Linked DNA regions of Oreochromis niloticus. The protein of the gene in region 1 purifies or fractionates together with the protein of each later gene. This does not show direct contact. Links are inferred from orthologs where the notes say so. Each region holds a gene or a part of one and is shown in the gene's direction. Other genes may lie near its edges.

Region 1 (7,211 bases):
AATTATATTATATTACCAATGGATACTGTTGCAAAAGATCACCCTCTGGTTCAGATTCTTTGATTTTTGGCATAGGTCTGCCAAACTCCCCTGTTAGCATCTTTCACAATACTCTTGTTCATCAGATTTCACGTTGCTGCCAATCTGCAATTTTTGGAAAAAAGTGAACACTTTGAATTTGATGCAAACTTCACTAAAGTTTTATACTCTATCCGTTGTAGCCATTAGAAGAATCTTATATTACACATTTCACCTTGGCGGCATGGCGGCGCAGTGCTTAGCTCCGTCCAAGCAAGCGTTCATGTTCTCCCTGCGCCTGCGTAGATTCTCTTCAGGTGCTCCAACTTCCTCCCACAGTCCAAAGACATAAACATTAGGCTGGAATGTGAATGGTTGTTTGCCCCTCTGTACAACAGACTAGAGCATTTACCTGACCTCTCGCCCTATGACAGCTGGGATACGCTCAAGTCCCACCTTGAACCTGAATTAAATAAGCAGGAAAAAAAATGGATGCATGGATAAAAACACTGTTTAGCCCAAGTGTGGCAAACTCATTTTTATTCATTCGACAAATTCTTACAAGTTTGCACTTAAGAAGTAAACCATGTTTTTAATAAATTACATTTTAAAAATGAAGAACAATTTTTTCCCCCCTTTTAAGGTGTGAATTTTAGTTTCTGATAGCACCAAACGGCTGCTAAATATAGTGCCGCATTTTAACAATGAAGATGAAAATATAAGTAAAAATTGGAAATGGCCAGAAACACCACTGCAGTGTTGCTCTTTATGTTTTAAATGTGTCACTATCACTTTCTATCAATGTTTATGGTTATGCCATAAACATTTTCCTCTACTTACAGATTTTGGCAAAATTACAAAAAAATGTAGGCATCTCAACAGCTTTTGATTTTTGTACATTTTAATTTATTTCAACAATCATAAAAATGATCCCAGCATATTTTATTCTGAATTTATCTTTGGGTCACTTGATATTTTGGGGCATTTACACGCCAAAATATAAAATATATATTATTTAAATGCACTGAAAATACATTCAGTCTAAAAGGGTTTTATAGAATAAACTCCTACATGTTATGAATATCATAAATTATAACAGAAACCATGCAAACACATGAGATAGCCAGTGCATAACTGTGTTTTTACTGGCAAATATGCATCTATATGAAATGCACTATGAGTAAGCAAAACAGTTGAGGTTAATTGGTGCAAATATGTGGTAAATTTATCATATTGTCTGATGAAAAAGATAAAAATGTAAGATCATGGCTGTTGAACAAGTTTCTTTTCCTTCTTAAACTATTTATTGACATCAGCTTTTGTGCAATTTCCCATCATCACATCAAACAGTCATGTGAATAATGCGTTACAGAACATTCGAACAGCCGACTTTTAGAACAACACCGTCTGGACATGATGATTTGCTTCAGGAGTCTTTGTGTTGATGGCCCTTTGTTAGCTAAGACCACACAAACCACACATCCACAACGATCATAATCTAAACACGACATACCTAAAACAGGCATAACAACACTTCTACATTAATGAGTTGAATGACTTGAGTCGTTCTGCTGAGCTCATATGAGCAGGCGGTCAACAATTACAGTATTTATCCGTACACACACAAAAAAATGCTAAATTACTGTAAAAACTGTTTTGTGGTTTTACAGCAATGTGTCATGATGTTTGAAGCTGTACTGCAGTTGCACAGAAAGTATCAAAATTTGTCTTTATGTACTTTTTTTGAAAGTAAAAACTGTTTTTCAGCTCTGACGTGAGTATTGCTTAAGGAGCAGCTTCACTATTGTGAACAACAGAGTTACAGATCCAGGTGCTTTTTAAGTCTTTTTAACTACATTTAATTTTCAGGGCTTATTAGCCCATTTAAAGACTGTTTTCTCTTGTTGTTTGAAAGTTCCATGTTCTTATCTTCATTTCTGCTAAGTGTTTTTGCTGTGTTGTGTTTTTTTTACTTTACTTTTAATGCAGCTTTAGTTTAGCCCCAAGAAAAAAAACTTGTTCTCACTAAACCAACATTTGACCTTTTTTTTTAAATTCCATCAAATCTAGTAGCAGCTATAAAACAACACTATTACATACCTACAGTTGATGCAGGAACGTTTACACATGAAAGGACTGTTAAGCTCCTAAAGGCTGGACTGAAAATGCAAATTTTAAAGATAATTGGATTTGACACTCAAGAAGAGTGGCCCCTATACGAGGCTTTTAGAAATGATGAAAAGCTCTGTTGTTACTTTCTCTTCAGAAGAAAATGTTTTTGACTGGCTGATGTTATTTAAAACTCCTTAACAATAAATTTAATTTAATCTTATCCCCATTATGTTCACCACTTTAAATTGTGATGGATGGGCCAGTTGGCCAAAGCTTCAAACCCTCATTTGAGGCTTGTATAAAACTAGAAAGACCATGAGGAGGGTGTGTATGATTATGGAAGCACATCGGTGCCTCAATGAGCGGTTAGAGCGATGCGATACTGACCAAGAGAACCACTTTAGAGTTTAAGAGATAAAAACCAAAGATCTGCATGCCTGTACCCATCAGTAGAGCCGGACAGTGTCATGCAAAACTTGTGTAGTCTCCCTCAAGAGGGCAGTGTTTGAATGGAAGAGCCTCCATCTGTCAGCACTTATCAAATCACTGGGATATGAGGGGTGCCAAGAACTCACAGTCTATAACATTTTATTTAAAACAGATATGTGGATATGAAATATTGGATTGTCATGGCAAACATTTAAATTGTGTTCAGAACACATGTTGCTGTGCTCATACTTTTTTAGATTTTCACATCTCGTTATATTAAGTGTCTCTGCTGAGACGTGTAATGATGGGTAATTAATGTGAAGGATCAAATGATTAATTTGTGTACAGCCTTGAGTCAAAGACAGGGTAAAAACGTGTCTCGGGTGGAGTGTGTGTGGCGCATGTTTGCTGCAGCAGTGGAACAAGTTGCACCCTGCGATGAAGTCCAAAATAAACCCCCTTGAAAAAAAAAATGCTTTCTGAGACACGTAATGCTGCGGAAGCTGTTAAAGAAGGGGGAGGAGAAGATGCACCGGTGCACTTAAATCCAGTAACAACAACAGCGGCACAGAGCGATGTGCAGATGAGCTGCCTCACTCAACACTCTCTGACATAAGTAAGCTCCTCTCCAGTATCTCTTTTTTTATTTCTCTGTCCTTTCAACCCTTTCCTTTGGCTTTCATCCCCCTTATCTTAACTCTTTTTACTCCCATTTCCTCCACTCTCCTCTGACCTTTCCCTCTCTTCTCCTTTTTCAGTCTCATCTCACACCCAAGGGTGTGTTTAGAGCAATGGCACAGGGTGGCACCAGCCCAGAATTATTAGGCTTATAATCCCCAACACCAGTGGATAAGAACATGGATAAGTGGTAGAGCATAACTTCAGAATTTTACTCAAGCATTTAACTGACCAATGCAGACATCAGCCTGGTTACTTATTATATTGTATGTAAAGGTGATTAAAATGACATGTACATTAATGAATCAATTATTATGACTGAATAACATAATGAGTACTTTGAAGCATTTAAAGATCAAAAAAAGAAGAAAATGTTACTTTTATTTCATGTAGATGGAAATATCACCACACTGTTGCTCTATATGGCCAAACAATACACATTAGCCGTTTGTACCATTTCAGTAAGCTTATGGCTTTTACTTCAGTAAATGGTCTAAATACTTGACAAAATGATTTTCAGGCACTTGTGCAGACACTTTTCATATAGAACATATGTACTCTATGAAGGCATAAGGCTGCACACAAGCCTGGAAATCTTCCCTAATATCCTCTACACTCTTTTTTTAAATTTCTGATCAAATATTCTGGTTAACTATTTTAAAAATAAGTAAATAAATAATGGAAGCACTCCTGCTCATATCTGTATTTTCCTTCACTGCGGTCTCTTCTTCCTTGATCTTCTCAGTTTTCTATTACTTTTCTTCTTCTCTCTCCTCTCTCTGTTACTCCTCTCCTGCTCTCTCCTCTCTCTGTTACTCCTCTCCTGCTCTCTCCTCTCTCTGCGCATTCATCCAAACCTCTCCCCTCCTCCTTTCTCAATGAATCTCTCGGCCAGGTTCAATCCCTCCCACTTTGTGTAAGCGCCTAATTGTCAGCCCTGACGAAAACTTGCGCAGCGCTTAAATACCGCATTCGCCTCTTGCTTTGAGAGTGCAAGTGACCAGCCTGTTCAGAAGGACATCTCTTGTGTATGTGTGTGTATGTGTGTGTGTGTGTGTGTTTTATTTTAACAAATTTTTTTTTTTTTAAATCTCCTTGTGTGATTTATTCCTGCTGACCGACAAGCATGCAGGTGTCTGTGGCCCTCCTCGTCTCCAGTTCGGCTTTCCTGCTGCTCCAGGGATGCTGCACCGCTGTGAAGGGATGGAAGGTTTTAAAAAATGATGGCACGGAGATTTTACCAGAACGCAGAGAAAATACGCGGACGCCGCTGGAGGCAATACTACAGCCGTCCAACAGCAACAATAACAACAACAACAACAGCAACGCTATGAATAACAGGGCAAAAAACGGCGGACGGGCGGCAAGCACAGTTTCCTACAGTAAGTATCATAAAGATGACAGAACAAATGTTAAATATTTAATTTTACAAGTTAAATAAAATGAGAAGGTAAAGATCAATAAGTAAATCGACGCAATGCTTAAAGTTTAAATGCTGGAGTGATTTAATTTGACCTCTTAATTGGAGGCTCTTGTGCGTAAAATTAACCATCCGTCAGAGCTTTATAAAAACTCATTAAAAGGCTTAAATTTAGAAAACTTTCGGATTTTATCGCATAAAACCTATTCCCAGCTTGTATGAGAACAAGCAGGAAGGAGCATAAATGTTTATTTATTTGATTTTAGGTCCCCATTTTCAATTAGTGCACGTTTATAAAGAATAAACGTGGACCCAACTGCGCTGTACACCCAACCTTTACTTAATACACAAAAATGTGACATAAATTAGGAAAGTTTATTTCTCATTATATTTTCCACATTTAAGAATTTTAAACTTTAATTCAACTTTTTTTTGGCTTAAAAATAAAATAAAATTTAAAATCTTGTGTCAAAAATATTCAGTGTATGTGGAAAATGTAGGCTCTCCAAATTAATGTGGCTTTTTAAAAATTGCCCTAAAACACCCTGCCTCTACATCCTGCTTCATTATCACATCAATTTCCTGATTAAGAAGCGTGTAAAAGGTCTGGTTTAATCCAGAGGTGAGGGTGATGAGAGCGGCTCAGACGCACATTCCTGTGGTTTCTTCCCCTACACACAGCAGTCAGTGAGACATCGGGGCTTTTTCACATTGTCTTCCAGGTTGTTTCCTTCTCTCTTCATACTATTAGTCAAGCTCTACTTCCACCATAACTATTTGATTGCAACAACATGTCTCCCAAACAGAAAAAACCCCACAGTTTGCTCTTTGGGGAGATGTCTTTGGGGGGGTTTTAGAAATTGCTTTTTAAATGCAACACTGCCTTTGACAATGATTCCCACCTGTGGCCGGTAACGGTTGTGTGTTCTGATTAAGTAGCGCATGCAGGATAATCTCATGCTTGGTCTCATGGATTCGAGATGGGTGGTGCAACATTTTTGTTAAATTATGGCCCCTTGATTTGGAGATCAGAGGAGATGATTGATTAGATTAGAAGAGCAACAGCTGACAAGAAGTGAGTAGTAAGTCGAGGAGAGTTAGTGTGACTGATTTTCTTGTCTTAAAGGGTAGAAAAAGAAAAAAAATCACACGCCAAGCAACAGCTCCAGAAGATCTCATTTAACAGGAATTTATTCATTATTAGCAGGGATGGAAAATGCATCTCTTGCTTTTACAGTGAATGTGCAGCTAATGAAGGCAGAACTCTCCTGGATTATTTTCTTCACCCATATCTTAATTTTCAAGTTATCCTTCCCCCTGTGGGGTCACAAAAGAGGCTGTGACCACTGCCTGGCCTCCCTCCAGTCTTCCCCAGAGGCTTGTCTCCCACAGCTGAGGGAAAGGAACAGCTCACGCAACTCTACAGTAGTCTAGTGTGTAATCATGAAAATTTGAGGCTCATTAGTAATTTTAAAACTAGGGTGGAGAATTGAAAATGTTAGGCTGGATTAAAACACATCCTGGTGCTTCATAAATAAGACAACCTGTCTTGGCATATGGTGGTAACTGGTGCAAACCGCCACCCGGTGTACGCTGTAGGCGTTGTATACTTCTGCGGTCGCCTTCACCAGCAGCCGCAGAATAACACTAGATCATGTTCTCGTGAGGAGAGGGGAAAAAAAGGAAGTCACCTCACATAAATCCTTTGTTCAGCCCTTTTTGCAAAGAAAGCCACAGAGGAAAACAGATCCTTCTCCGAGTGTATCATTTCTTAACCAACAGTTCTTTTGCCTCCTCGATTTCTTTCTTTTTTTTTTTAAACATGCAGCTTGTAAGAAAAAAGAAAAAGAAAAAAAACACAGGACAATAACTCATGCGTACGGCTGTTAAAAAGCTGCAGCTGAAATATAGGATTACAGCCTGAGTGTGCTGTCTCGAATCAGCCTGGCAGATGTCCAGTTTATTCAGAAGTGTACAGTTGTAGCGCTGCCTTAAAATAACCAGACAGCTATTTACTCTTCCATCACCACATACATTTCCTGAGGGCCAACGGTGAATGCCAGCTTTTTCCTTCCAGACCAAACCTCCGTTCGGTTTGATTGAGCTGTTTAATGGCCCTCTGGTCTGGATTTGCTATCAGCTGATTGCTGCCAGCTGGATTTCTTCGTCAGGCCCAGTTGTCAGCTAATGATCAGACCATAAATCAAATTCAGAAACTCTGATCTCATTGGCTTAAGCCTCCACTTAAAAGTACAAATTACTGTATTAGGCTGAATTTAGAAAAGTGGATTTTTCAGCTGCTCTTTTGTGTCTCGTAACGTGTCGGAGCTGAAATGAAACGCTGCCTCCGGTTCAGACTTTATTTGCCTTACGTTGTTTGTTTTTCACATAAATAACGCAACACGTGAAGTCACGTTGGCATAAACAGACCGAGGCAAATGATCACACACTGAAATAAGACACAGCTGCAGTCGCCCTGCAGAAAGTCCGCAGCACTGTGTGGCTCTCCAGAGTGTTTGTTCTGGACTCGATCCATGAGTGTTAACGGTTATCT
Region 2 (7,139 bases), on another chromosome or scaffold:
AAAGGCAGGGTACTCTCACAGAATTGCACGTAATACTTTTGGTGTAATCTTTGAAGGATCTTTTCTAAACTCTCTAAAAAAGTTCTTTGAGAGTTTGCTTTTCTTTATTCATCATTTCAAACTACAAAAAAAGTCAGCTACTTAGAAATGCTTTTGGAGCTTCTTTCTGCATATTTATAATGTTTGTTTTTTTTAGGGTCCATTCTAAGTTATTGTGATTGTATCATGGTTCACATCTACCAGATTTTACTAAGAAGAATGACTTTATCAGTAACTAAGCTATGTATGCCTGTATTTGTTGGGAGGGGTGCCTCTATGGCCCATACATCCAATGTCATGTCCTAAATTAAAACACCTGACTCCAAGTAGCATACTGGAAGGAGCCATTTACACAATCTCCACGATTCTTGTGTTTGTGTTGTAGATGAAATTTAGACCACAGTTCATAAACAGTGAGTGCTGATATCCTATTGAGTGACTACTTCAGTAAGTATTTTTTTGCATTTACAATAGTGCATGTTATTTGCTGTGGTATGCCAGCTAACAACAGCTGCACAACACAAGAGAACCTTCCAGTATCTGCAGAAAATTTATATAAACACATAACGTATAATGCTGTATACAGCCTTTATCTGTTTGTTTTTTTTTACATTACTTAAGAAACTGATTTTGCACCTTTTTTTTTAGTGTGATCTGGAAATTATGTATTGTCTACTTCACTGATTTTACTGAATAACCAAATCCAACATTTGATTCATAAAACAATGGAACTGAATGAATTGCGATGAACAACGCCGCACACACTGGGGTATTAAACAATAAAAGGCTTTACACATTTAAATGTATCTAAATGCATTTTCTTGGTCAACACTATACTGAGTGCAAAAGTGTGTGTTTGACTGACTGTACTTAAACTGCTGAATGAAATTAGACAGAATTTTCTAGTTTATTGTGTCTAAAGATATCCAGAGGAAGACAATGATAATTTATTTCGGGGGAATGCTCCAGTGTAACATAAGGACATTTTGTCATGGTCCCCGTGCCTGCTCGGCTGGCCCTGTGTGGCTACATGTGTTGTTTTTGTCTCTCTCCTCTCTCTCTACTCGCTGCCTGGGCGGAGCTCATAGTGGGCTCCCGCTCCTGGCCTTCACCACCTGTAGGCAATCACCTGTGGCTCCTCACCTTGTTTGCTCTCGCTACTTAAGGCAGTGACTGAGAGCACCTCGCCGCTGGACTATTGAGTAACGCTCGTCAGTGCTACTTTAGCCTCAGCCAGTTTTTGAGCTCTCTTCGTGAAAGTTTTCCGTGTTAACTCTTGTTCTCTGTATACAGATTTCTCGTGCTTGGTTTGGAAATCTGGACACCTAAGCCTGTTCGTGAGTGCCGTAGTGAGAGTGGCGTGTGTGAGGAAAGGACCTTTCCAAGCGCGCCGCTCTGCCCGAGTGGGGCGGAGTAAGAGAGGACACTTTTCCCAATTTTTCCCTGTACCCCTGGGAACCCTAGCCCCCTTCTCCTTCACCAGTGTATAGTGCACCAGGAGTGTGTAAATAAAACCAGTTTTCTGTGATTTCAGTCTGCGCCGAGTCCTCCCTGCTCCCTCGTGACACATTTGTGATTTCACTGTATTGCTGGCAAAGACTGAAAATTTGAAGTGAAGTAACTTCTCTTCCTGTTCCTCTTGCTTATTTGCAAAAAGGGAAATGCAAAAGTAAATGCTCTCTGTATCATGCTCGGGCAAGAACAATAATTCTTAACTATACAACTTAGGACTTTTTTTTTAATTAATGTAATCAACAATCAAGCACATTTTTAGGGGACACACAATTTTCATCTGTCTCTACTTTGGCTGGCTGGTAACAGCAGCACACAGTACAAATGACAAGAACTGATAATAATACAAATAATTGTCACACTTTTTTTTTTTTTTTAGTTATGGTCACATTTGCTAATGATTGTTTCATACAGCAGTATACCATATAGCACAGGCATTTTTTTTTTACATGTATTTTTCATTTTTAGAGTTTTTAATGAACATGACTGACAGGGGATTTCTTTAAATCACCCTGCCGTTCTTTGTTCAGCTGAGACACCTGAGTTAGAAAACACAAACACTGCAGATTTTCTTTAACTCGCGAGGGCAGCCATGGAACGCAGGATCTGCGTCTCATCTCTGTCTGCGTTTTTTATTTATACAGTTCTGTGTCTGTGTGTGTGTGTGTGTGTGTGTGTGTGTGTGTGTGTGTGTGTGTGTGTGTGTGTGTGTGTGTGTGTCAAGGTAACAACGTCACTCAGAGCAGCGGGTTTTTCCCTTCTCTACTCATAACAGAGCTGAGCTCTTCTCTACATCTAAATGTTCTTTAAAAACAGGAAGCGGTTAGTATCTGCATAGGTTCATCACAAGTTACTAGGTGAAAAGTCACGTAGACATGTGCTTAATGAAAGGATACATTTCATGTAGCTGATCACATGTATATACAATTTTCCTTTGACAATGACCTTGAATGTAATCAAATATGATGTGTAACATGGGCCATATCAAAAACTGTCTTCTTCCACTCACTTTTTATGTGATTTGAAAACATGGATTTTATTGGTTAAATGCTACAAGTCCTGTTTGCAGGCTTTACAACAGACCACTGGAGGATTTGGTCCTGATTGGTATTTGATGTTTCCAAGCCATAAGTAACAATCTCAGGCTCAGTGTATTTTTTTTAATTTTTTTTGCATGATTATTTGTTATTGAGTGATTTCCATAAAATTCATCTAAAAATATTACGGAAATCACATTACCAGTTATACACCAGTCTAACAATATCAATAAGTACTATCTTCTTTAACTGGTTGATGATTACATGACTTACTTGCCCTTGTGCTTAAAACCAAGCACATTTGGGGAAGACTGAGGTATGCTGCAATACATCCTGGAACTCAGTTTGATTTTTTTTTTTAAATGCTGGAGGCCAGACAAAAACAAGCTGGAGTTCTTGCTTAATTTGAATTGCTGTTTGGTTACTTTAAGTTACATGGTTATCCTGTATCAACATCAGTGTGTTTAATAAGGTCTTGATATTCTGTCATGACTGACAGGGTGAGGGTTGTTAGTAAATGTTGCTGTCACTAAAGACACATTTACTGATTTTTATTACTTATTAATTGGATATTTTATTAATAACAAAATGGGCAAATCCATTTAAAAAATCCTGCAAGTGTGGGTTAAAATGACCTGTTGCGTCTAGCATGTCTTTTTGCAAACCTATGAAAAAAAGTCAGCTTCATTTCCAAAATCAGTTGCAGCTGATTTTCAATCAAGTGTGGCAGTTAAAAAAAAAAATCTACTTTTGAAATGATTCTATTTCGTACAAGAAATAGTTTAATAATGTTTATTCTTCCCAAACATATCATTCTTCCTGTCTCTGAATTTCATCTGTATCTGCAGCCATTTACGACAGACCTATGTATCAACAAACAATAACTGCTGTTTGATGAATTTTACTTCAAAACTGTAATATTGCATTCTAAAGAGTCCTAGAATGTTATTAGAAAGCAAAACTTAACTTGGAGAATTGTAATATGTCGCAGCCATCCCTGATTCGTGTTGAAATATCCGACTTTCCAGATTTAATAAATTCTGTGATTCGTTTTTTCATTTGCTATCATCTTTAATGACGTGGATTATTAGCACACAGAGAAATCCCAGTTATTTTAAGTGTCTCCCCCCACTCGGCATTAACAACAAGTGGAAGGAGCCTCTTAACTAGGAATTTCCTTTGTTTCATCCTAGTTTTACAGAGGTTCACTTCATTTAAAAGTCATACTTTACATCTTGTTTTAGAATTTCATGTGCAGGGACATAAAAGTCTGTCCTTAAAGCAACAGAGCAGCGTTTACTTTAACTGCTGTCCAACATCTGATATTTATGACATTTACACAAAAGTCAAATTAGTAAGAATAAAAAATGGGACAGCCTCGTGTTGAGTGACGTAATTCCACGCCCGCATGCCCTTTCTCTCAGTGCGCGAGCTCGAGAGTCCAAAGTATAAAGTAGCGCGAGCGCCTTAAGTGGGACGGGGTGGGGGGGAATGTAGTCGATAGCGAAGGATACACAGAAGCGCACACTCCTGCATGCAGCCACATCTGGCTTTACAGTGGAGCACAGACCATATGTGTACATGTGAGCACTGAGGAGTGGAGGGCTTCACAACTCGATTGAGGAGTAAATATAAGAAAATGGACCCGGAGTTATGGATTTAAAGTGCAGAGGACTTGAAATGGGCGGTCTACTGGTGGCGTTGCTGCTCTGGAGTTGCCTTCTGTCGGCGGTTGACGGTACGTTTACTTTTTGTTCACAACATGGATCCTCAAGAAAGGTGGAAGCACGAAAGCTGATAAGAACACTGGTGAACACGGTCCGACCCTGCCGTGCATTTGTGCACTTCACTGCCCTCAAACGTTTTCCACATTTGGTCAGTCTAAGTCTAGCAGCGATTTCTTGTGTCAAACTTTAGATTTTTATATCCCAAGGGCAAACCAACACAATGGAAGTCTTTAAACTTTGAATTGGTGTTGGCGACACGCTCTATGAGAAAGCTTGTGTAACCAAACGGACCCCTGCTTTCCCCCTCAGTTTTACAGCCGTCACAGCCAAAGGAAAAGAAATTAACTTTAAAGTCAGCCTGGCTATTTTGTCGGGCCTCGGTAGCTCCAGCCATTCGTGCTCGGTGTCGGATGTCAGCCAGTCTTTCTTCTGTAATGGTGCAAATACGCCGGTATGTTTATTTGAGAAAGAACACAGCAGAGAACAAGGCAAACATTTTCCAATCAGGATCGATGTCTTTATAAGCATTCCCTTCTCCACCGCCTGAATTGCGCTATTACTATTTAATCGCCTGAAACTGCTCAGCGAGAGGCGGAGCTTAGTTTTCTCTCATATGGATACATTTTTGCAGGTCCTGGTGCTTTCTATACAGCCCCTTACAGATCAGGCATATTATTTCATGCTCCAATAACTCCTATAAAATTAACTTCTAAGAACTCTAGCTCCCTTTAAGTTCACTCGATTGTTTTTTTAAGGTACAGGTGAGACCGATTCCAGATTTGTTGATGAAAGTCGCAATCTTTGCGCTGTTTTACAAACTGCTTTTCTACTTTCCGTCAGTGTCACTGGGTAGTTAGTTATAACTTTGCATAACACTAATTTATATAAGAAGAACGGCCAAAGTGGAGGTTATACTTGGACTTCATTGTAACTTAACAGTTTGAGATATATGCCGCACCTACTCAGCTATTTTATCATTAAAATTTTCCTGAGTCAGCTACCTCATCATGTTTTCACTGAGTTGGTTAGCTGGTGTGTGTGTGTTAAAATAATCTTACGTGTTTTACTACTCAAAAAAAGAACATGAAGTGCTGACTGTGTAAATTTAGATTATGAGGTTCAAAAAATGAACCACTATCCTTGACTAGATAGTAGATCCTTTAGATTTTCATTATTCCTTTTTATGATCTCTAAGTAGCTCATACACTTTCTATGATATATTTCTGATTATCTTTTAACTAAACACAGCCAGAGAAAATGCACTAACTACTCACTCATTACTTATTACTCCAACTACTTTCAACCCTCTAGTAGTAATTCCTTCATGATTAACCTTACAGCTGTGGTATTAGGTAAGGAACAATTCTAAGCTTGAGAGCTGGGCGAGTAATTTTATTTTTCTTTTAGTTTTCACTTCAGTTTAACTGTAGAGAAGACACAGTGCTTTTTATTTAACGACATATAAATAACAGCAATAATTTTTTTAAAGGTTAGGGACTTAAAGAAAACCTAATAGTTGATAGAAAATAAAATGAATTATTGCAGTATATAAAAGATACATTTTATGTTAGTCATCTGCAGCACTTAGATGCTGCAAACATGTTAATGCATCCAGTAAAATACTAATGAAGCCTAATTTGTGAGCAAAGAATACTTTTTAAACACATTTTGTTACTAATATTTACATCATTTTCATTCAGTAATGGTTCAACAGAGGTCCTCTAATTTTGTTCGAGTATGTTTAAGTTGTATTTTGCTAGTTTTGCCTCAGCTCGACTGTGTCATCGTTATAATTTAAGTGTCCTCTTATTTAAAGTGAAGCATATTTAGTTAGTAAGGACTTCAGTTTTGTCTTAACAGTTTTTTTCTAACAGCACAGTAGGCCAGATGAAAAATCCCTTAGGCCTGTTGTACTATTTTCAAGTGAAATCTTTCACACACTTTCAGATGTGTCAAATGGTAACAAAGTCCAACAATAACCTGTTGCTCAAAGTAACATATTTATCTTGTACCCTTGAGAAAGCATGACTCTGTTTCTTATCACTTACAGTTGAAAAGAGTAATGTAAAATTAAAACATACTGTGTACAGTGTCAGTACTGAACTCTCACCAGCCTCTAACCTCCACTGGTACATAGTGGAACTTTAGGTCCACATCACTGATATAACCATAAGAAAATTCATCCAAATCATGTATATGTTTCCTACAGATCCACATCTAGGATGTATTTGTATGTGCTTGAGTCTATGCCTTTCAAGAAAATCTCTCATCCTGAACTCAATTTCTCCCATTTTGGACCGCAACTGACCTTGTTTTGCTCTTTACCCTTGGTAACCATGAATCACTTCACCACCTGCCCCAGGTTCATTGTAGTGTGGTGCTTAGCAGATTTCCAGAGAAAAACAGTTGGAGCTGACATACACTCAACCACAGGATGAGATCCTTTCTGGGAGGCCACTGAAAGACAGAGGACTGCCACAATAGCAACATTAGCTACAGATTATGCAAATAATATACCTGGCTGGCCACCCAGGTATAAGTAGTACACTCTGTGTGTGGAAACCCTAAGATAGCTTTGCCTGTTAGGAACATGACTATTAATATGCTGATTGACATTAGAATATAGCAATATCTATACACAGTATCAAGCATTCCATAGTTAGCATTTTGCAGCACCACAGTGATTGTGTATTAATTCAGTTCAATTTTATTTATATAGCACTAAATCACATCTTGATAATAATGAATTACAGTAGTCCAGCCTAAAAGTAATAAATGCATGAAAGCAGTCCTACATATTTGTTTAATATGCGCAATGAAGAAC

The links. Proteins that work in one complex are often made in the same cells at the same time.
Region 2: the proteins of sost (region 1) and lrp5 purify together in Homo sapiens (affinity purification with mass spectrometry; 3 studies listed by BioGRID and IntAct, counting the BioPlex papers as one, with this or other methods). This does not show direct contact. The link is inferred for Oreochromis niloticus from reciprocal best matches to the Homo sapiens genes SOST and LRP5.

Annotation. Positions count from the first base shown.
Region 1 is NC_031973.2:6,392,546-6,399,756, reverse strand, and holds the start of sost (sclerostin), read left to right. Parts: upstream 1-4,156; 5' UTR 4,157-4,363; coding exon 4,364-4,619; intron 4,620-7,211. UniProt on the Homo sapiens protein: Negative regulator of bone growth that acts through inhibition of Wnt signaling and bone formation.
Region 2 is NC_031972.2:39,324,569-39,331,707, reverse strand, and holds the start of lrp5 (low-density lipoprotein receptor-related protein 5), read left to right. Parts: upstream 1-4,050; 5' UTR 4,051-4,326; intron 4,327-7,139. UniProt on the Homo sapiens protein: Acts as a coreceptor with members of the frizzled family of seven-transmembrane spanning receptors to transduce signal by Wnt proteins.